Linked DNA regions of Lepisosteus oculatus. The protein of the gene in region 1 purifies or fractionates together with the protein of each later gene. This does not show direct contact. Links are inferred from orthologs where the notes say so. Each region holds a gene or a part of one and is shown in the gene's direction. Other genes may lie near its edges.

Evidence for each region. Proteins that work in one complex are often made in the same cells at the same time.
Region 2: the proteins of ift57 (region 1) and cluap1 purify together in Homo sapiens (affinity purification with mass spectrometry; 4 studies listed by BioGRID and IntAct, counting the BioPlex papers as one, with this or other methods). This does not show direct contact. The link is inferred for Lepisosteus oculatus from reciprocal best matches to the Homo sapiens genes IFT57 and CLUAP1.

The regions. Positions count from the first base shown.
Region 1 is NC_090701.1:9,588,961-9,599,788, forward strand, and holds the start of ift57 (intraflagellar transport protein 57 homolog), read left to right. Parts: upstream 1-5,179; 5' UTR 5,180-5,557; coding exon 5,558-5,712; intron 5,713-7,080; coding exon 7,081-7,243; intron 7,244-7,990; coding exon 7,991-8,109; intron 8,110-8,523; coding exon 8,524-8,614; intron 8,615-9,065; coding exon 9,066-9,137; intron 9,138-9,499; coding exon 9,500-9,622; intron 9,623-10,033; coding exon 10,034-10,105; intron 10,106-10,286; coding exon 10,287-10,418; intron 10,419-10,828. Other genes in the region: dnah5l (dynein axonemal heavy chain 5), read right to left, coding at 285-385, 1,044-1,254. UniProt on the Homo sapiens protein: Required for the formation of cilia. Plays an indirect role in sonic hedgehog signaling, cilia being required for all activity of the hedgehog pathway.
Region 2 is NC_090714.1:6,842,219-6,853,352, reverse strand, and holds the start of cluap1 (clusterin-associated protein 1 homolog), read left to right. Parts: upstream 1-6,029; 5' UTR 6,030-6,169; intron 6,170-6,462; exon of another isoform or gene 6,463-6,553; intron 6,554-7,083; 5' UTR 7,084-7,168; coding exon 7,169-7,190; intron 7,191-7,346; coding exon 7,347-7,458; intron 7,459-8,208; coding exon 8,209-8,293; intron 8,294-11,134. UniProt on the Homo sapiens protein: Required for cilia biogenesis. Appears to function within the multiple intraflagellar transport complex B (IFT-B). Key regulator of hedgehog signaling.

The DNA.
Region 1 (10,828 bases):
GGAGACTGAATAGTTGGGGTACAAAACTCTTGTACAAAACATTTGTACATAAACATACAGTATGTTGAATATGTTTGAAAAGAGTAGAATATTCAGTATACAGATATAAAATACTGAGGTCAACTAGCATAAGTACAATAGATCCTTAGATCAATCATCTTCAAAAAACTAAAGAACCTAGATGTGCTGATTAACTTCCTCACATTAATTGACTTTCTTAGGTTCTTACTCAGGAAAAAATCTGTAAGCTGAGGCTGTTTCAAAAACATAAAGGCTGCACTCACTGGTGTGGTCATTGTAGGAGATGATACAACAGAGGCTGCTGTGTGACTTGTGCCTTTGGGTTTCTTGGAACCTAAACGCCTGTGCCCTTTAGCTCCCTGATCTGTAAATACAGTACGTAGGGGGAAAAGTTATTCATTTTTATGACAAAATATTTTCTCAAAGTCGAATTACTGTTTCGTACATTTTGATTATTCTTGTCTACTTTATTCATCACATTTTGTCATTGTTGCTTTCACTCTTAGTGATTGAGGCATTACTAATGTTTTTATAATGCTACCCCAGACAGTTTACCACAGAAAAAACACAGTAAAATCGAATGCACTGCATAGTAATCTCAGGGAAGATAATATTTGGTTACAAAAAAGGCTTCCTTTTCCCCTTTAATCTAATTATTGTGTGCTACAGATGTAGGGAATAATAATTTCTTCATGTTTAAATGAATGAGGATACACCGCATAAACTGTAATGCTTAAGAACAGAACATTTCTGAGTTCTAATCACCAGGCAAGAGTGACAGCTTTGACACAGAAAAAAAAAAAAGGAATTGTGCAGCAACAATTTTCAGTCCTGTAGTGTGAAATCATAACAAAATCAATCATTTCACATAGGAAGAAAGAGGACCAAAACATGTCTGAACTTATCATTTTTTTCACTCATATACTGTGTGCCTAAACTAGAATATAACTGAAAGTCTAGTCCATCATTATCTCAGACGTCATTGTGGAAATACTAGACTATGATACATGGCAGGGACTTACCTTTCTGTATGTTGATAAGAGGAGGGGCGATGCCCTCATTTGTAAGTCTGGGTGAAGCTGCTTCAGCATCCTCTTTCTCCCCGGCCTCTGTGCTCACTTGCTGTTTCTCTACATCCTCTGTGCCCTCCTGTGGTTTCTCTTCAGCATCAGTGCCCTCCTCTTGGGGACCTGATAGCTCCTCCCCAGGACCTGTCTTCTCACTGTCAGACATCTGTAATCACATATTATTGAACATTAGTTCACTTGCACCCCTAATTTCGTAAAGGCTAATCACTGTACTTGGGTTCTAATTCCTAATATAATCTGCAAACTGATTAGTTTAACATACAGAAAGATATTGGATCCCCATAAAGATCAGTATGCCACATATAATAATGTTGGAAAAGATCTAAAAAAACACAGATCTCCAGTAACCAAGATATTTTACACTACACAGCTGTATTTCAGTGACAATTTCATTTGCCACTGCAATAAAAGGCCGGTTGCAAAGCCAAGTCTTCAAGGTGAAAAAAGAAACCAGATTGTTTTCAGACGTTAGGCAAACATGAAGCTGGTGAGCGCAGAACAGGGACACGAGACCTCCAAGAAAATCCAGGGTGTTGATGGACCAGTAGGTGGTACTATTCCCCCTGGACAACAGTTTTCAAAGCAATACCCAGATATGGTGCCTGGATACTCTGAGATATAGGAGGTGCGCTGCCCTCAGCTGTGTAGTGGAGCTGAATTCAGTGGCTGATGAAGTGGGTACTTCCGATACTATATGTACAGTATAGTGATTTAGGATCCTTGCTATATATAAGGATTAATTATTATAATAATAGCATGCAGGTTAGGCTCTGAATTCGTGGTACAAATAGCCCATTAAAAACATGATAATACTTTTAGTACAACTTGAATTGAAAGACATCATGTCATGTTTATGAACTAAATAATATTTTTAAAAATGGGGAATGATTATTAGAGTATAGGTATAAGAATATAAGAAGAGTTACAAATGAGAAAAGGCCATTAGGCCCATCTAACTCATTTGTTTATTTTTTCAGTAATCAACCGATGATCCTAAGGTTACTTCCTGCCAAAACCTAAAGGTACTCCTACAGCCCCTTGTGTAAAAAACTGTCTCCTGTTCTCAGGTGTAAATGCACTTCCTTATAGCTTCAACTTGTGTCCTCTACTTCGCGTTTTATTGTTGTTTCTAAAGAGGTCCACTGAGGATTCTGAATATTGTACTTTAACGAGGTCCACATGTCTTCTCTGTTCAGTTCTTTTAGTCTGTCAGTGTAGCGCTTTCCTTTGAGCTCAGAAATGTATCTGATATTGTATAAAACTGTTGTGAGCTGTGTGATTAAAAATGCAGAATGATTATCTAAGATGATATGTACATAAAAGCCAAATTTTAAAAAGCACACTCTGGTGAGTTCACAATTGTGTGTATGCATAATATGAAACCTCAGTAGTATGTTTTCTTGCCTTGTCTTGTACATAAAATACACGAGGTAAACAGTCTGTATTAGGATTAAGAAACCATTGTGGACTGAAACCATTCTAGTTTTGCCTTTTGAACAATATAATGATAGTCTCAAAGCAGCTAACCAATCAGAGAATGGCTTAGATATGTCATTGTGACCTTGACTCTCAATAGCAAGAGAACCTAGTCACCCTTCTGAAATGAAGGTATTGTGAAGAAAAGTAACTGAATAAATGCAATTTAAACCTTAAGCAAAACACAATTATGCACTTAAATGGCCAACATAGGGAAAAATGATAAAAAATAGACATTCTCATGCTTAATCTGTTTACTATTTTAAAAAAGTAAACATCCTAAATAAAAATGAATATGTGTAACTTTGGTTTATTTGAATACTTTATGTATCTGTTTTACTTGAGCTGATCAAAAGCCTCATTTTCTAAGAATGACTTGACAACTTGATGAAATAACCTGATTAAATGACCATTTCACAAACACAACAAACGAGAAACTAATACAGAGTATCCTTCCATAGCGACAAGCTGCTTATTCTTGGTAAGCGTTGTGGCTAAAATGGATTCTAAGAGCTATTATTTATTATTAGACCAAAACCAAAAGTATGTCCAGTTTCAGAAAGCAGGAAAAGTTCTATGAGAAGGGAAAAGCGTTTACAAATTAACGTGTCATAGAACAAAAGTTGTTAAGTGCCGTCCAAGTCGCACACAAACAATAACAGAATGCAGTATTACTGAGGGCCTTCATTCAATTTAAAGAAAACTTAAGACATTCTCATTTATCTCAGCCTTCTTGGTTGTTACCTTTGCAGAAAGCAGAGCTCAGGTAGTCCTCCTGTCTGTAATCCACCTGTCAGTATTTTGTCAGTGTTTGTTTCTCACAGCTCTGTAAACCCTCTTTCCTCTGAAGTGCGAACTCTGTTTGAAAAAAAAATCCTCACTCCCCCCTCCCTCTGTCTGTCAGAGTTTGGGTGCTACCATGGAAACTACTGTAATGCAACTTGAACTAAATCCAGCTCACCCATTCTTGCCAAGCCAAGAACATTTACTATTTTACTGATACTCTCTGACTAGAGTGTTGCAGATAAAAGACTACAGGCTCCATTAATCTATTAAGATGGTACAGTACATTTGCCAAAATTACGTGCATACACCTACTTCTACACATCTGTTCCTTGCTTTCATTGTTATTCTTCCAATTTTATTCAAACCAGTACACTTTGCAAGAAACAGTGCTATAGCAACCCCATACAACAGAGTTGCTCAAGGCATACTCAGTTGTAAAACCAGTAGCACAGCATTTTGTTTTAAATTCTGAAGTCTTATAGGTCTTTACAAGTAAACACAGAAATGATCATTTAAAATGACTAAAATATATTTCTTGTAACCCACTGAGACAACAATGTACTGAACATATTTGAATCCAATTTAATGCATCAGGACTATTCCACACATACACACTTTGTTGAAATGTCCTGCTTTATGAAGAATTTGGAAAGGCGTTTATACTTAGTTATGATGCTTGAGGCTAATGTTATACTTCTCGTTCTTGTCTGGTACGTTTTGCTGTGCTTTGATGGTATTGCTCACTTGGCAAATACTTTCATTTTATTTTCTTACGGTGAAGAGAAGGGAAGTAACAAAATATGATGTGTATGACTTAATCAAAACAAAGTTATCTTTATGGAAAAGGCACTGATGAAGCAAGTGATATATGAAATGTCACCCCAGGAGTCGTAAGTTAAAAAACAAGTGAGCGTAAGGTAAAAAAAAAACTTTTTTTGAATTTATAGGTACAGTTTTGTCAGTAGTTTTTTTTTTTTTTAGGTTTCATTGCTACGGTAACTGGTAGATGAATAGCTGTATATTTGACTCCCTGTAGGTAATGTGCTGCTCGGAGCCGCCAATAAAGGCTTTCTGATCATTAGTGAAGTCTTTGTCAGGCTGCAGAGAAGCCTCTAGGGGGGTAGTGCTGTTTCCTAGCACCTCAAACAAACCTTGAGAGGTGCAATGACACGCGATATGCCAGATTTTTCCCTTGTCATTATCGAATAGGATATGCTGATATGAGACCGAGTCCCCGCACCCACCCATCATTAAACACTCATCAGTTTAAATCTTTAAACTGAAGAGTTTTAGGAATAGCTTGCAAAAGCAATGCGGACATGCTTTGACGATTAATACGTTAGCTGAAAACAAATCACATGAGCGATGTTATATATAAACATTAAACATGGATTCAGCATCAAATATACTGCATAACATATACGAAGCTTCACCGAGTTGTCTTTTTTTTTTGCTGTCTAAATGTGTTTTCGCATAATGCTTTTAAAATACATTCAGTCTTTGTTGATAATTCCTTGGACAATAGGAAAGCAGGGTGTGGGGGCTACTGCTAAATTTCATATGACATTAAAACTCTGAAAATTTACTTAAATTGTTCGCAGTTAGCTCAACATTAGTATGTCACCGTAGACTGAAACGATCAACCTCAAGCCGATTACTTTTTATATAATCTCGGTATTTTATTAATAAATTGGTCTCATTTGAAACTGCCATGAGACCACCACAGAGCACAGACGCATTTCGAACGAGCTGTTTGTGATTTAACTCCCGGAAAATCAATCAACCATGTTTCCATGGCAAACGCAATTTCCTGGGAACCTGCCGTAACCAAGGAGCTGGATTGGAAACTTTGGATTTACTTCCGGGTGTATGTCACAGTTTCATGTTTCCCTGACTTCTCTATACCCACGATTGTTTTTATTTTTATTTCTGCTCCCGATTTAACGTCGGTGCAATATTCGACCTGTGAAAAGCGTCCCCACATTAAATGATTTTCACTTCAGTTACTTTTGCTTTGTGGGAGCAGATCCGGCCAAGACTCTCCTTGGTAACGACGCTTTAAGCAAACAATTTGGTTTACAACAGGTAGTGGCTGGCACACAGCACTGGTTGACAGTTTGTGATTTAAACAAAAAAACTTTGGCAAAAAAGATTCACAGCACGGAAAAAACAACAGTTCTCGGCCGATGGCAGATGACAACAGGCGAGGAGACGAGGATGAACGGGGTCCGGGAGCCGCTTACCAGATGTTTGTGGTGATGGAGGATCTGCTGGATAAACTGAAGCTGTTGGATTACGAGGAGGAGGTGCTGAGGAAGCACAACATGAAAGCTTTATCACGGTAACTGATGGTCATGCTTCACTAAACTGTCAACTGAAGGTGCAAGTAGACTTCAGCAGTTTATAAACCCAGATTGTATATCTTCCGTCTGTAGTGGAAATCGTAGAAAAATAAAGTTACGGTTTTTTGTGTTTTGTGTTTCGTCAAATTACGGTCACGTACCGTGCATATGAAGTCTCTAATACTCCATGAAAAAATACATCATTTTAAAAAATGCTTAAATTTGCCCGTAAAATCAAAAAAAAAAATCACAACCATATTGTTTTGCTTCTTTTATGATATTTATAGAACAACATTTGAGAATGTGTGTTAGATTAAAGGGTATGGTGGAAATATGAACGAGGGAGTAGTTCGTTCATTTGTTCATCGGTCTCACAGTGTTACTCTCTAAAGTGTTTGTGATAATAGCTGTAGCTGTCTCTGCCTCTACCTGGGAAACATTCAACAGCTCCACAGCGCCCTTACCGTACATACTGTACCTTGGCTTGACTACCAAACTGCACCTGGGATGTCGTTTGCTAGGCCCGTGTACCTATACTGTACACCTATTTCATGCGCAATATACTGTAGGGATCGCATTTCTGCCCATCAAGGTAATTGTCCCACATATTGTTTTTTTAAGGTTGTTCATTTACCTTCGTGAGATGGGGTCTGCTTTTTTAACTAAAACATTCTATCATGCTTCATGCTGTCAGTGCTTTATAAAGATTGCTGGTACTGTAGTATTTTATGAGAATGTTGTAGTCAGACCTATACACAATTCAGGGTACTGTTAAAGCTAAATGGTGCATTTTCTAAGAACTGCTAAAGAGAACTGTAGTAAGCAAGCTTCACCCTTTTCCACGTTTAATGAACTAATGTTTGAAGAATATACAGTTATTATAACTGATATAAAGTATGTGATCATCAGTAGTCAAATAAATCATGTAAATGTCTCTGAAAGGACGCTGACCCAGTTTAGGGTGATTTAATAGAGGATTTCATTGCGATGTGTTTTTCTTTCCTTTTCATTTTGCACCAGTGCATGTGTCTTTCTATGATATCTTATCATCTCGGAGTCTGTCAGTGCTCTAAAGCTCATTGAATACCCTTCAAGATTTAAGTAATGATTTGTTTATATTGTATTTCCTTTAGAGAGAATTCTAGGGTAGAATAATTGTTAATAATCACAATTAATCCTATTTTGAAATAACTAATATCAAACCTCTAAAACAAACAAAGCATAGAGTCAAATAAGATAAGGACAGACACTTCACTAGCCTTTAAAGGTAAACGGTCATAAACCACATTAATTATGCTGCCAAGGTCTGACTGCATGCTGAATTTTCAGAGCCATCAGGGTGATTTAAAAAAAACTTCTCTTTTCAGTCACTACTTCGCCCTTCCGACAAATCCAGGAGAACAGTTCTTCATGTTTACCACCCTTGCCTCGTGGCTCATCAACCAAGCTGGGCGACCCTTTGAGCAGCCTCAAGAATATGATGACCCCAATGCTACGGTCTCGAATATATTGGCAGAGCTCAGGGCTTTTGTAAGTATACCTGCAATGCAGGTGGCTAACCAAATATGCTTGTCTCTCTTTTAAGCAGTGTTTCCCAGTGTCTGCTTTACCACACATGAATAAATGTACCATTGAATATGAAGGCTGATAAAGATTGTTCCCTGATTTTGTGATCAGGGTCAGAACCAAATGGCATTCTTGATGTTACTTTCCATTTTTTAACATACAAGTTTTAAAAGCCTGCCTTACAACAAGAATAAACTATTTGAGATTTCTAGTACACTTCAGTGGGGTGCTGTCAGCATTTCCTGTCCAAAAAAAAAAAGTATCATCCCATAGTCTCCATATTAAAACTAACTTTTTTTTATTTATTAATAATTATTTTTTTACTTATTAATTGAATTACTCATATTTGTGTGCCTCAAAGTGGAAAAGGTTCAGAGACGCTTCTTTAGAGTAGAGGTTCACATCTATCGTCCTGAAGGGCCAACTATTCACAGGTTATACATGTCCTTTTCAAATAGGTATATCTTAAAGGCAGGGAAAATTCAATTTTAATAGGTATTTTAGCTGAAATGTATCCAGCTGACATCTGCAGAAGATTGAGTAAAGTAAAAAAAACTATAACTTTAGCCAGAACATTAACACTTTGAAAACTGTTTCATTTAAACAAAAGTAGGAAACCTGCTGGATTTTTGCCCTCAGGGACTGAAACTGTGCGTTTATGCTGTAGTGGAAAGGTGTCGAGTTGAGGGTTTTTCTTTGTTTTAATGTTAGGGTGGATTAGTGGATTTCCCTCCTTCCAAGTTGAAAACAGGCTATGGGGAATATGTTTGCTACGTGCTGGATCGCTTGGCAGAAGAGGCACTGAAACGGACGAGATTCACCTGGAAGAAGTAAACCTAAAACAGTTATCTTTTGCACTGCAAAGCAATGATAGCAAATTGTTAATTAGACACTTTCATGGAATGGAACAGGTCAAGGTTCTTCCCATGCTGAAAGGTATAGTAAAGAAACACTTTGTTTTGGCTGTGGAGCCTTCTTCTGGTGTTAGGGAGAGAAGGAAAGTAGCATTGTTTTTTTTATTCTGCATTTTGTATTTTTTTTATTTGCTACATGGAAACATGGGATGAACCTGTTCCTTCGCAGCCTACACATACTAATGCAGCTCTCTGCTTGAATACTTTTATGCATGGAATACAAGGCATTGCATGCTACTTACTGTACAGTACCTGGAAAGATTTGTTTTTTCTTTGCTGGAACATTTAAGATCCCTCATTGAACGAAATTCTGTCTGAATGATGTTCCAGGCCGAGTTACCCCAAAGAAGAACTTGAGGAGGAATCTGTGATGGATGATGATGCTGAACTTACGCTGAGTAAAGTGGAGGAAGAAATGATAGTGAGTATCTTGCACTACTTTAAGTAACTGATGTCTTGACCTGCTTTTGAGAAGTAGGATGTATTAGGAAGTATTTCCTCACAGACCTCCCTTTAGCTTTGGTTTTAGAGATGATGCAGCTGTTACAGTGGTGGACGTTCACAAAGCCTCCATGACTGAAAGTAGTGCTAGGCAGTTAAATTCTGTATATCACAGGACAAAATCAGCTCAGCTGTTTTTTAGCTGCTTTTATTTTTGAATAAAGTATACTGATGATAATTAAAAAAATGGTTTTCTGTACTTCTGCAAAAATAACATTTGAGGAAAATAAATCCTTATCACAAGTAAAAAGAATATAGTATGAAATTACAATAGTTGTGTTAATAACCTGTGCTTGCTCTTTTGCTTTGACCTTAACTATGGGGTGCTGATTTCTCAAAAACGCATCCTCATATGTAATTTTATTTTGTAGGTTGAACCGGATGACTATGAAGAAGAACATCTCATAGACTTGGAAGCACTGAAGACAAGGACAAATCAGAGTGTAAAACGTTTTTTTTTGCTTTTCTTTAAGACAGAATGGTGTTCCTTTAAAGTAGTCTTCTTATTACAAGATATTTACACAAAAAAACAGGTCAGAACATCCAAAATGGTTTCAACATGTAATATTTTGCCATGTTATAACTAGCTGTCCTTGTTTGAGGTATATTTCTGTTAATACTTACTTATGTTTTACTTTTTCTAATGTGAAATACAACTGACATAAACACTGCAAATAATAATTTAAGTCTGAACGTTTTCTTACAAGTGTTTCATTGGAATCTTACATTAATTCATAGTTTCCATGCAATCACAAAATGTTTTAAGACAAAGTATGTTAATTTAATTGATTTTATGAATTTATAGGAAACAGGTGAATCCTTAAAACCAGATGATATTTTGGAATCCAATACAGATGCTGCAGAATGGAATTTGGAAGTAGAGCGTGTTCTTCCACAGCTGAAGGTCACAATCAGAACTGATAACAAGGTGAAGATATTTCTTTCCTATACACACATACTGTATGCAATTGCAAGGCATTCTGCTGCCATAAGAACCAAACAGGGCCAAAACACTTTCCTGTACTGTAATTCCACACCTTGCAGCTAGAGTGCGTTGTTTTGTTCTAAGACGTAAAATATTCCTGAATGCAGTAACTTTTTATCAGTACATGTAAATTTGTTTTTTTCCCCAAAAGCAAAAACATAACAGCCAGAAGTAGGAGGTCATTTGGCCTATCTAGAAAAATACTATAGTGTATATGATATGGTGTAGAAATACTATACATGTGTTTTATGTGTCTGTTCTTAATGGACAATTAAAGATTTACCAAACAAAATGAGCTTTGTTTGTTCAAATCAACCTTATAGGTAGTTAAGCCTTTTCCTCTAAAATTTGCAGGATTGGAGAGTTCATGTGGACCAGATGCACCAGCACAGAGATGGAATCGAATCATCTCTGAAAGAGACAAAGGTATTTTTTATTCATGAATGTTTTTAAAAAGTACCACATTTTACACACAAATATTAGTATTGTTGAAAAAAATAATTATTCTAAAATTGGGTGTTACTGAAGTATATTTATGGATTTAAGGATTGTATGGCATGAATCAAGTCTCTGGTTTGTTTTGCTTTTCAATCCATTTATTTTTCAGGGTTACCTCAACAAGCTCCAAGAAGAAATTAGTAAAACTCTTGAAAAAATTGGCAGTCGAGAGAAGTACATAAACAACCAACTGGAACATTTAATTCAAGAATATCGAGCTGCACAGTCACAGCTCAGTGAGGTGACAATATTGTTCTGTTTTGCTGTGTCTTTTAGGATATCTCCTTTTATTGGTGTTAACTTTCTGAGCACCTTCACGGAACAACAGCTGGTTAGCGAAATGCTACAGTATGTTCACTGGATCATGAGGAAATTAATTCCTTGTCTAAGAAACAGTAGAACATTATCATGCCATGGCATTTTGCAAAACTGAAATGTAATACTCTGCATTGTTATTTAAAAACATTATAAAAGTAATCCACTAAACCCTGGACTCTTAAATATATATGACACTCAGCATACTGCTTATTGATAAAAATATTTCTATAATTTCATGCATCAAGCAATAACAAATTAACTTCTCTAAGCCTTGTAATAATATGACTACAGTATTTTTCATCTAGTTGATCTGCTGATGGCCTCATAAGGTTA
Region 2 (11,134 bases), on another chromosome or scaffold:
GAGTTTAACAGTGTTTGTACCACCTAATTTTCTGCTTTGCAGCTGAATGAAAAGAATTCAACAGCCGCGGCTGCTGCTGTACAGCAGGGATAGGGAAAGTAAGCTTCACCGGAGAAATTACACCCCCATCTTAATTTTTTCACGAGTTCTCCATTCTGTTCTTTTGCACGTTCTTTGCGTTGTCTCCTATGTGTCCATGGAACGCATCGATGCGGACTGGGGCCACAAACCGCCGTGTGTGTCTTGAAATGATGACTGCGTACTGACATGCGGTCCCGCAACAAGCTGCTCCGTAATGAGTTTTTCTTCTTCAAAGCGACACGCAGAGTTGACACGCCAATTTGCAGGAAACCTGGGGATGGGCGCCTGGAGCTGAAGCTTCGACTCTCAGCGGTAGATGACAAATGCTCGTTTGCGTCGGGCCCGAAGTCCACCCGGTCACTGCTGGGGTGTCACTGTCGCCCACGGACCTGTCGCACCTCGTTAGGCCAGCACGCCTTCATGTTTCACACAGGCGAAAGCCCACGCGTGTGGCGCCGCCCTTATTTGACAGCTGAAGGACAGCTGCGTGCGCGGAAAAAAAAACATCCACGCTAATCCCAACCGCAGGAGAGAGTTCTGAGAGGAAGTCCAAAGACACGCAACAGCATGAAGATTATCTGGGCATTGTACAGTAGACGACTTTCGTTCAAAACTGAAGTGTTAGCTGGAGCTTCAGCGCTCGCCACCACATATACAGTAGTATATTGAATGGAAAGTTATTTCAACGTTTAATTTTTACACGAAGTCGCTTTATGAACTGAAATTTCTGGTAGTGCGGCATAAAACCCCCGTCTAATTTCCAGGCTTCAGGGACGCTTCAGACACGAGCAGCGTGTGATACTTGCGGCTGAAAAAACCCTTCTGGCAAATCCCGGCGCTGCTCTGCTGCTGCTTTGTGTCAGTGAAACGGAGGACAGAAAACGAAGCCTTTTTGTTCTTTTCACTACAGCAGCCCCGGCTCTGCACATTTTAGAGCCGTCCTCAAGCAGCTGCCAAAAGCTATGTTAATTGTGTGTAACTGAGTCTATAATTGCTTAATTAACCAACTGAACCTTATCTGGAAAACAAAACCCCAACAGATCCTACCGTTGTCTTGGTAAAGACACGCGATTTCAAGAAATCCCACCTATCTGACAGCTACAGCAATGTGCTGTATAGCTAAGGTTAAAAATAAAAACACCCGGGGTGGCTCTCGGTCCATACAGAGCGCAATCAAGACAAAAGCTCAAATAAAGCGGTGATTTTCTTTTAATTACAAAACGTCTCAAGCTACCATCCATTCACTGATTTCCTGAACTGCATTAGCCTTCGAGTCACAGACAAACCCAGCAGACCCAGTTTGCAAGACGACACCCAGAACAGGACACACGTGTGGTGTGCAGTTCCAGAGACACATCCTGACTCTCCTGGGCAGCACGTCTTTGGGCTGCGAGAGGAAACCAGCGCATTCCGAGAAAACCTATACGAATATGAGGGGAACATGCAAACTCCACATAGACATCAAACCCTTCCCAGCAACACTGTTATAGCATCACATCAAAACCCACTACTTCTCCAAAAATACTCTTAGCAAGCCCAAACCTTTGATGAAACCATTAACGTTTTCTTTTTGGGGTTTTGTCTCACCGCAGTTACTGAAAGGTGCACGTTTTCCGTGACCCACACTAAGTATTATATTCCCGGGAGTGAATGTGTTCACTGAGCGTTTTGAAAGGAAGAATGCACCGGATTTTCAGATGGTGTACGGGTGACACCCCCCCAAAAATGAAGCCTTACTGCACCTGAGCCCTTCTCCGTCACTGTTTAACCGGCACAGATACCCGCATCCCCTACCTGTGGATTTTATTCCAGATGAGCTCTCGGTTACAAATTGAAACTTGAATTGACCCAATAATATAACCGATCCAACGTTTGGTTTTCGGTTCCTAGCTGGTTCTAACTATTGCATTTCGTCCGTTTCGTACGATTTCCGACCTGGAATAGAAAAAAAAAACTTCCAAAGGTTCCAATCAATTTAATTCAGGATTTAATTGAGTTAAGAGTTCGAGCGCACGGGTGTGGGATTAACGAGATTGCGTACCCTTGTCACAACATCCCAAATGGGTCAATTAAAAAACCCTTAGAACGTCGTAATTAGACTAATTAAATCAATAACCTATTCAATTAACTCATTTAAGGTTGGGGAGAACGAATGCTACGTTTCTCTACGCGACGCGGAATAAACATTTCCGACAGTTTCTGAAACACAGATTCCGTACCGACACACTTTCTGATGCTCAAAGTCGGTACCAGTGTTATAGACACTCTTTCGGAAACACGGGTTCGGTACCGAAACTCTTTCTGAAACCGAAATTCGTAGCCGGTATTATCAACACTCTTTCGGTAACATAGGTTCGGTACCGACATCCTTACCGAAAGAGAAATACAATAGAAAAAATCCAGAAGTTGGAGAACGGGAATACTTTGTATTGTCTGGCTCGTTTTTGCACTGTAGAATTCAGTCTTTGTTTATTGATAGGCAGCGCAGGGTTGTAGCATTCACACAGTCTTCCCATATATAGAAAACGAACTATGTAAGAAACGATTTGAGTTTTAATGCCCGGTGTTGCTCCTAAAAAGAAAAAAACATCTTAAATTTGAGAACTATTTGATACGCGCCCCAGCGCTCTTAAAGCAGAAAGCTAAACCGAACCAGCAACAGAGAAGCATTCGAGCTCGCGAAATTGGGCCGAACCTGTAGCTGGCGGCTCATCGCCGTGATTCGGACACATCCCCTGTTATCAACGTGAATGACTAGTCCTTAGATACAGTGATTCCCTGCATTAGAGCAACAAGGACACGAAGTCTTTTTGGACCCAGAAAGAAAAATACTCACCAACGAACGGCCCGCAGACAGAGGGCTCCCAGCCCGTTTGTTCCGGCTGCAGGGGGGTTACCGGCGGCTCTAGCTGCTGATCGCCGGTCCTTGCGGTTCCTGCGAACTTCTGCAACTGCTCAGCTGGAGGAGGGCGCGCACCTGCCTGCCGCCGCGGCGGCCGGTCGTCTCCACCAGAGGGCGGGCTAGAGCCGGCGGGACCGGAGAGCTGAACGCCGAGCAACGCGAATGTGTTGGATCATCCTCATCATTATTAATAATAATTATTATTATTTCCGGGCGCATTACATAACCATAAACCTCATTAAGATTCGCCCTATCGCAGTTTGATCAACTTTATTGGAAGCAGGGTTGTCTAAGATAAACTAGTCAATACCTGCATTGCGGTTAAATGCGTTTTTCTTAGGACTGACTGCATGCGTGCCATTCGGGTTTTCCAGAGCAGAGATAACCCCAGGTTGCCCGTTAATTTTGAGGGAAAACAAGAATAACAAGCGAAACTTCGGAAATAACTTGATAAATTTGTGCAATGAAATGCTATTACAGTATGTCGTGCTTTGGTAAAGAATACAAAACTGTCTGGCCATGCCACGTAATTCACATTTTCTGCTGCTGAATTTGTGACAGTTCTCCACAGAATGAAGGGGTAGGTTCCGTTACTGGTAGCAAACATGCCAAGTATCTTTGTTATCATAATGTACAGCAAACTGCCAGTAGCAGGGATTACTAGCAGGAGTACTAGCAGGATTTAAAAATATATATATAGTATCCTGACATCTCTTTTAGTCCATTTGCGTCCCGGGATAGTAATTTTATTTTGCTTGGCCGTGTCGTTAGGGAGAAACACGTCAGAAGAATTGCCAGAAACGTCGAGTTTAATTTTAGTAGCGAAGTAACAGGTAAACTCACTGCGAAATCAGTATTTGTCTTCGTCTCTCGGGCAGGGTAGCGAAAATTGTTTTGGTTAAATCGGAGCCCCCCCGCGCTCCTGAACCGTGGAGCTCGGCTCCTGCTTCTAATTATCTAATTAACAGAGACAGATCCGGGAAAGGGCCCTTCTGCACTTCACCACAGACCTGCAGAGGTGATATCAAGATTGTTTGACGTAGACAGTCTGACACAGAGCTGACCCCCCGCTGAGAAGGCAAAAATAAAATACCCTTGCCCACGCCAAACCGAAGCGGTGTATATTGGTTGGAACTGTTCTGTTGCCCAAGTTAAGAAAGGTCACAGGCACGATCTACAGCTGAATCTCACTGGTCCTAAGGCGTTGCAAATCTTTTAAAGTTTTTCCTTTTGTTTCAGTGTACGAGTTCTGTTCTTGTGCAGAAAAACAAAAATGACGGAAGCGAGTTTGCAAGTTAATCTGTTTTATATAGCGCCTCCAACGAGGCATCGTCTCAAGCAGGGCTTGCCCTAGCTCTTGAGAGGCCCTAAGATCTTGGAAAGCTCCCCCACCCCCCGAGATCACAATTTGCGCAAACACTACTATTAACCGCCCCACGACAAACTTACAAACTTATTTTACCATTTAAAACAAATACATGAACTATATAACTAGAAATCTTTTATCAACCATCTTCTAAGAACTTGTAAACTAGAACAAGAGGCACGCATTTTACAAATGAAGAGTGAATCTGTGAACTTTTAGTAAAACACCTCAAGCAGTCTGGGTGTCTAGCTAGAAAATGTAGATTGTCCACCGTCCGCTGGTTACTTGAATCTGACGGACTCCAATCCAAATGCATTATTCGTTTACATGACTGACTTGATTCGGCGCACCTCTGTTTTGATAGGTACTGTACCTGCTTTTGCAAGATGATGTGCGTTTCCCAGTTGGAACTACGTGATTTTAATTTTAAACCATTTGGCAAATGGACAGTTTGCAACCCAAGTGAAAGGTCACTTGGAATATCTCATCACATCTTCTTAGATGTAACGGAAGATTAATAAAAATTGATCATCACAACATTTACCACTACCCAATTAAACGAACACCATTTGGTGTAAACCGTCTTTCGGATGAGACGTTAAACCGAGGTCCTGACTCTCAGTGGTCATTAAAGATCCCTGGGCATTTCTCGAGAAGAGTAGGGAGTTATCTCGGTGTCCGGGGCAAATTTCTCCCCCCGACCTTTACCGTGGCCTCCAAATTGTCCCCATGTGTGATAGGCTTGCACTGGCCCCGAGATGGACTGACGTCCTGTCCAGGGTGTACCCTGCCTTGCGCTCGTTGCTTGCCGAGTAGGCTCCGGCTTGCCGCGACACCGTGTGGTATAAAGCGGTTTGGCAAATAAAATGACCCGACATTTGGTGTAACAGCGGCCGAAACCGCAATGATATTGCCATTTTACAGCGAAGATGAGCCATTTACTACACATTGACAGCAAAATAAACTTCTACTCTTTTATTCATAACTAATAATATTATAAGGTAATTTTATAACTAACAAACTTTAACAGCCCTAGACTAGCACAGCAGCAACAGAAAGAGCGCCTGGAATTTTTCGCTCACATTTGAAAGTGCCGATTAAAAAGGTTGTGGTGCACAATGAGGCCCCCTTGTGGCCACGGGCCCCCAGGTAGTCCCATAGTTCGCCTGCGGCTATGGTCGGCACGGAGCTAAAACAATTACAAAAAAAAACAATCATCCAAAGACATAGGTATCCACAAATTAAACAGAAAACTAAACAAATAAAAGCTAGACATAACTGCGTAATAAAAGTTATGATATGAAAACATTTATACTAGGATGTAATATACTGTAACGTTGTCTCCCAGTAATTAAGTAGTGACTAACTCAGTATTTACTGTCTGTATTAGCTACCATTTTGCGGAATTAATTATTAATTTGAAATAAGACCTATCGAAACTGTTTAAGGCTGTATCCATCTTGGCATCCGCTCTGTAATAACTATAAACTCAAGTGATCTGGGATTCAGACTGTTCTAGTCCAATTGCTTACATATCCCGGCATCGCTGTGATGCTGGCTGCCCACTGTTAATCCTGACAAGAGCTTCACACAAAGAAACCCAGACTCGAAAGAAAGAAACGCCCTCTTGTGCACAGTCTCTCCCAGGCAGAAGTTATATAGACAAGTTGGCTCGACGGTTGTTTCAAACTGACCCAGTTACAGCGGCAGCGGTGAAGAGCTTGTCCGCTTGGGAAAACGGACCGGCGCACTAAATTGGAGGATGGACTGCTGAGGACTGGGTCCACTTCTTCAGGCTTCAGTCAAGCCAGAATAAAAGGGTAAGGCAAGTTAAAAATAGAATGTAAATGTAGGAAAGTACACTGAGATCAAAACTAGAAAAAGCACAGAGAGTGACTGTATAGTTATTAGCACAGCAAAACCGAGCTTACAGTGCGATTTCATTATACAAGTATAAGCTGTTGGGGGAGTGGGAGGAAGGACAGCAGCCTGGGCTCCCGTGGGCTTCATTGGCACTGTACACTGCTCTAAAATGTTCCCCGTCTTCTTATTGTGCTCTTATGAATACTGTGTGCATGGTTGTGTGCTATTAGGGACTCGTTATGAGGTTTGTCTTCTCCAAGCTTCCGTAGCGCAGGTTTGTTTTGGATTCCATAGAGACGGGATAAGCGGTAGAGAAGCTCGCAGGCCAGTTATGATAAATTGTAAGTATAGGTAACGTTACTATTAATTAATTAGCGTCTTTCTTCCTGAAGGATGCCGAAGAGAAACCCGTCTGTTGAAGTATACAAGCTAGGCACAGACTAGACCGTTTAAAAGTAGCATGTAATATATAAAAATAGGGAAAATTAGAACATTTAAGGCACTAAGATATACAGTATGCGGCACAGTCTGGCCCTCTGAGGCGACTTTGGTATTTTTCTAAGAACAAATGTACTTTTGATTTTGCCTTCGAAACTGACTTTAAGACATTATTAATGGTTTGCTTTATCGGTCTCCTACGTGGGTTATTCTAAAATGGGACTCGAGTTAAGATTACGCAAGACTGCGAGCGAGACGAGATCAATACAAATCCAAATGATTAAAATGTCAGCCTTTTGATTTTTGCTATGGGTAAATACGTCTAAGAACATGGGAATGGATTCAATTTCTTGCGGTTACGGACTCCTTATTTTCTGTAACACCCAACAGTCTGAAGGGAGGTTGAAGTCTTGTCCCTCTTTTCAATTCAAAGGGCTCCCGGGAAAGTCAGTCCGGATCAGCCTGCGAAATAAGTACTTGGAAGAGAAAAGACCGCTGTCTCCACACAACCGGACACCATGTCTTTCAGAGACCTGAGAAGTAAGTGCTGAGCAGAAATTCTACGTGACCAGATTTCTTGATTTCTTCAAGTAAACCCCTATCCCCATCAAACGCTGGCCCATTTGACGCATTTGTTGTCTTATAGCTAACGGGTCCGAGGATTTGTTATGAAGAACCATTTCTTTGTTTTAACAGATTTCACAGAGATGATGCGGGCTTTGGGGTACACTCGTCTCATTTCAATGGAAAACTTCAGGACCCCCAATTTCACCCTGGTGGCAGAGATCTTAATCTGGCTGGTGAAGAGGTTTGTGCCTCTGCACTGTTTTTACTGTCAATCAGAATGGCAGACGAACAGCAATCCGAGAGCCATATTAAACCTAGAATACTTTTCTGTTGTACTTGTGCAATAATGTGCAATGATTACTTCAGCTTCTAATTGCTTCAGCTCCTTAAAAACACCAGGAATTTAATAATAATAATAATAATAATAATGCAAAGGAACAAGTAATAGGTTTATTCCATGCTGAAAAAAAGAAGAAAGAGAACACAACGTTTCGGCCGTGGAGCCTTCTTCGGGTGTCTTCTTCGGGAGCCTTTTTGACACCCGATGAAGGCTCCACGGCCGAAACGTTGTGTTCTCTTTCTTCTTTTTTTCAGCATGGAATAAACCTATTACTTGTTCCTTTGCAGCCTACGCATGCTGACACAGCTCCCCACCTGAAATAATAATAATTGCTTACACTTTTATAGCGCTTTTCTGGACACCATTCAAAGCATTTTACAGGTAATGGGGACTCCCCTCCACCACCACCAATGTGCAGCCCCATCTGGATGATGCGACGGCAGCCATAGTGTGCCAGTACACTCCCCACACACCAGCTATCAGTGGGGAGGAGAGCAGAGTAATGAAGCCAATTCATAGATGGGGATTATTAGGAGGCCATGATTGGTAAAGGCCAATGGGAAATTTGCCATAAGATTGCCTAATTCAATCCCTGTCCATAGTCTCCTTTCCTGCCCTTTAAGTGTTTTTCTGCATATTTCACACCTGTAGATACGAGCCACACATGGATATTCCCACTGATGTGGATACAGAGACAGACCGGGTTTTCTTCATCAAAGCTGTTGCTCAGTTCATGGTAAGTCTAAACCTGTGTTGGTTCTCTTCAAGTTGCCTTTAAGTGCACTGACTGTAACTAAAACCTTAGTTAAACATCTGCTTGTGCTTTCCCTTTCAGATTTTGCTTTCTGTGCATCATCAAATTTACTTTTCTGCTTAACTCATTATCTTGCTATTATCTGTGCTGTGAATCTGACAACGCTTCTAAAAGTATTCTAGTGTATGGCAGCAACTTAAGCAAATGAATCATTACTTAGAGAAGGTTTGGAGATTCAAAAATTAGTTTTAGGCTGTGTTTCCAGGAACATTCCTTAATCCTTATGAATTATTTATTTTTGTAAACTAGGGGACAGCAGTTTATGCTAGAATAAATACTTTAATTAATTTACTCTTAGTAAACATAACAAAAGTACACACAAATCTTCTTCTTCTTCTTTTTCACAGCCTTAGTCCCAGACTGTCCTGGGGTCAGCTGCTTTGGTTGCTCTTCTCCACTTGTCTCTGTCGAGCACATCTTCCTCACTCACTTCACATACCTCCATATCTTTTCTCACACAATCCATCCATCTCTTTCTAGGCCTGCCTCTTCCCCTGTTACCTTCCACCTCAAATTCCATTACCCTCTTTGTTACTTCCTCAACGTCCCTCCTCATGATATGTCCATACCACCGTAACCTCGCCTCTCGCATCTTCACAAATTATGTTATAAATAACGTTGATGCCATTTGTCTGTTCTAACAGACTGGTATTATCACCCCACTGTCTCTGTATGTGAAAGATAAGGTTCCATGGTGAAACCCAAGTCCACAGTCTGACATCTCTCACTGAGGTTTTCAGTCTCTGATCTTTCCTTCTAGACCAGGGAGCTGTGTTCTCTGGCTTCAGGTCCACAGCATTAGACTCTCGAGCTGAACACCTAGGAGAGTGCAGGCTGACCAGTCACAATGGACGGAACATCATTCATGGCCATAGTTGCAATCTGTCAGGTTTCATCAAATTAAAGCCATGCGTTTTTATACTGTAATCACCTCCCTAATAGAGTGAGAGAGACCCTGCTAGAGTGGAACACTGCCAAGGCAACAAGGCTTGAAACCATGCCTTATACACAGTCCAGGGCCACAGACAGCTGTCACGTTGCTGCAGGAAGACTGAGACATCTGTTGTATATGAGCACGTAAATCCTTACTATGTGATTACAGTGCAAAAACCTGAGATTAAAAGCGTGTACAGTCAAGGGAGGTAGACTAAAACAGCTGTGGCTTCTTAGATGGCAAGAATGTACAAAGGTTAAAAAGGATGCTCTGTGCTTGACAACTTGTGATGTATAGGAATTAATAGCAGTAGACCTGCCAAGCAAATACAATTACCTTAACTTGTTTTCAAAAGGAGCTGCAGTGACATACCACAAGCATAATCTCCTAATGTCTGAGGAGCAAAGCCAAATTCAAAGCATGGGAAACAGACCTCAGAGGATAGGATACAGCAAGAAACCAATGTGAAAGATGAGTGGTTTCAAATAAAATAGTATATTTTTTCTGTTTAAAGCACTGCCTACTTTTGCTCTGCATAATAGTCCCTGGTGCTCAGAATCTATTCAAGATCACAATGAATATCTTTAGTGCTCGAATGGACAAAAATAACTCTTACACATCCCCATCATTTCTATTGAACAGCCCTAACAATTTGGTGCTGCAGACCTAAAAGCTTAATGCAGTTTGCAAACAAAAGACATTCTTCAAAAATTCGTTTTTCTGTAATTTTCCAGTCACTTGCTGTAAGCCCTTAAAGGCAGCCTCCCATACTAGTAGCTAAGTCCGCTCCTAGCTTTGTATTAGTGACACCTGGCCAGCCTGATCAGTCATGTCTCTGTGAAGTCACTTACAGTAAGTCAGCCTTCCTTCCCGTTGAACAACATACTGAGAAAAAGATCTAATCTGCTTCTGCTTGACAGCAATCATGGGATGTGTGGTCTGTCCTACTGCTTTCGAATGCAACACTGAATATTTTGTATCACTGATATTTTGGTAGGGTAGTACAGCTGTACCTCTTTTAATGAATGTTCCGTTTTTGAAAATTCAATACTACGAAGTATGTGAATTCTTTCCCACATTTCAAATAACGAAAGCCAACTCCGAAACTACACAGAAGCAATATGAAGAAACATTTCGAAACCTCCGCCCTATGTAGAGAGTGAAGAGGAAGGCGTCATACGATGATAAGACTTGATTCATATTGAGTGTTCATATCACGTTCCACTAACTAGTGTGGGTGAGAGCAAGCACTGAGCCTACGGAGTGGCAGGAGAGACGTTCACACCATCTTGCTTCGTGCGTTGCTCGCTATTGTGTGTGCTCTTACTTTTCGTGTAAGAATATTTGTAGTTTAGACCTTAAAGATTCATGTGCTTACTGAACATTACAGTACTGTACGTAGATATGATTAATGATGTCGATCTAGTTAAGCAGTGTTTTCTATTACTAAAAACACAAACTACAATATAAATCTTAGTTATTATCATTTCTTTTGTAATTTTTTTATAATAATAATTGCTTACACTTATATAGCGCTTTTCTGGACACTCCACTCAAAGCGCTTTACAGGTAATGGGAACTCCCCTCCACCACCACCACCAGTGTGTAGCCCCACCTAGTGAAGAAAGTAAAAGCGGGGGTGTAATTTCTGGGGTCCGGAATGGATTGTAATTTTCCCCCATAAGAAATAGTTTTTTCTTTTTACAATTTTTTTCTGTACAAAACGGTTTCTGGGAATGAATTTCATACCTAAAATGAGGTACAGGTGTTCTGTGATACAGCTTCATTTAGGGGAAAGAAGTTTTTTAATGTCAAGTGATTAAAACGCA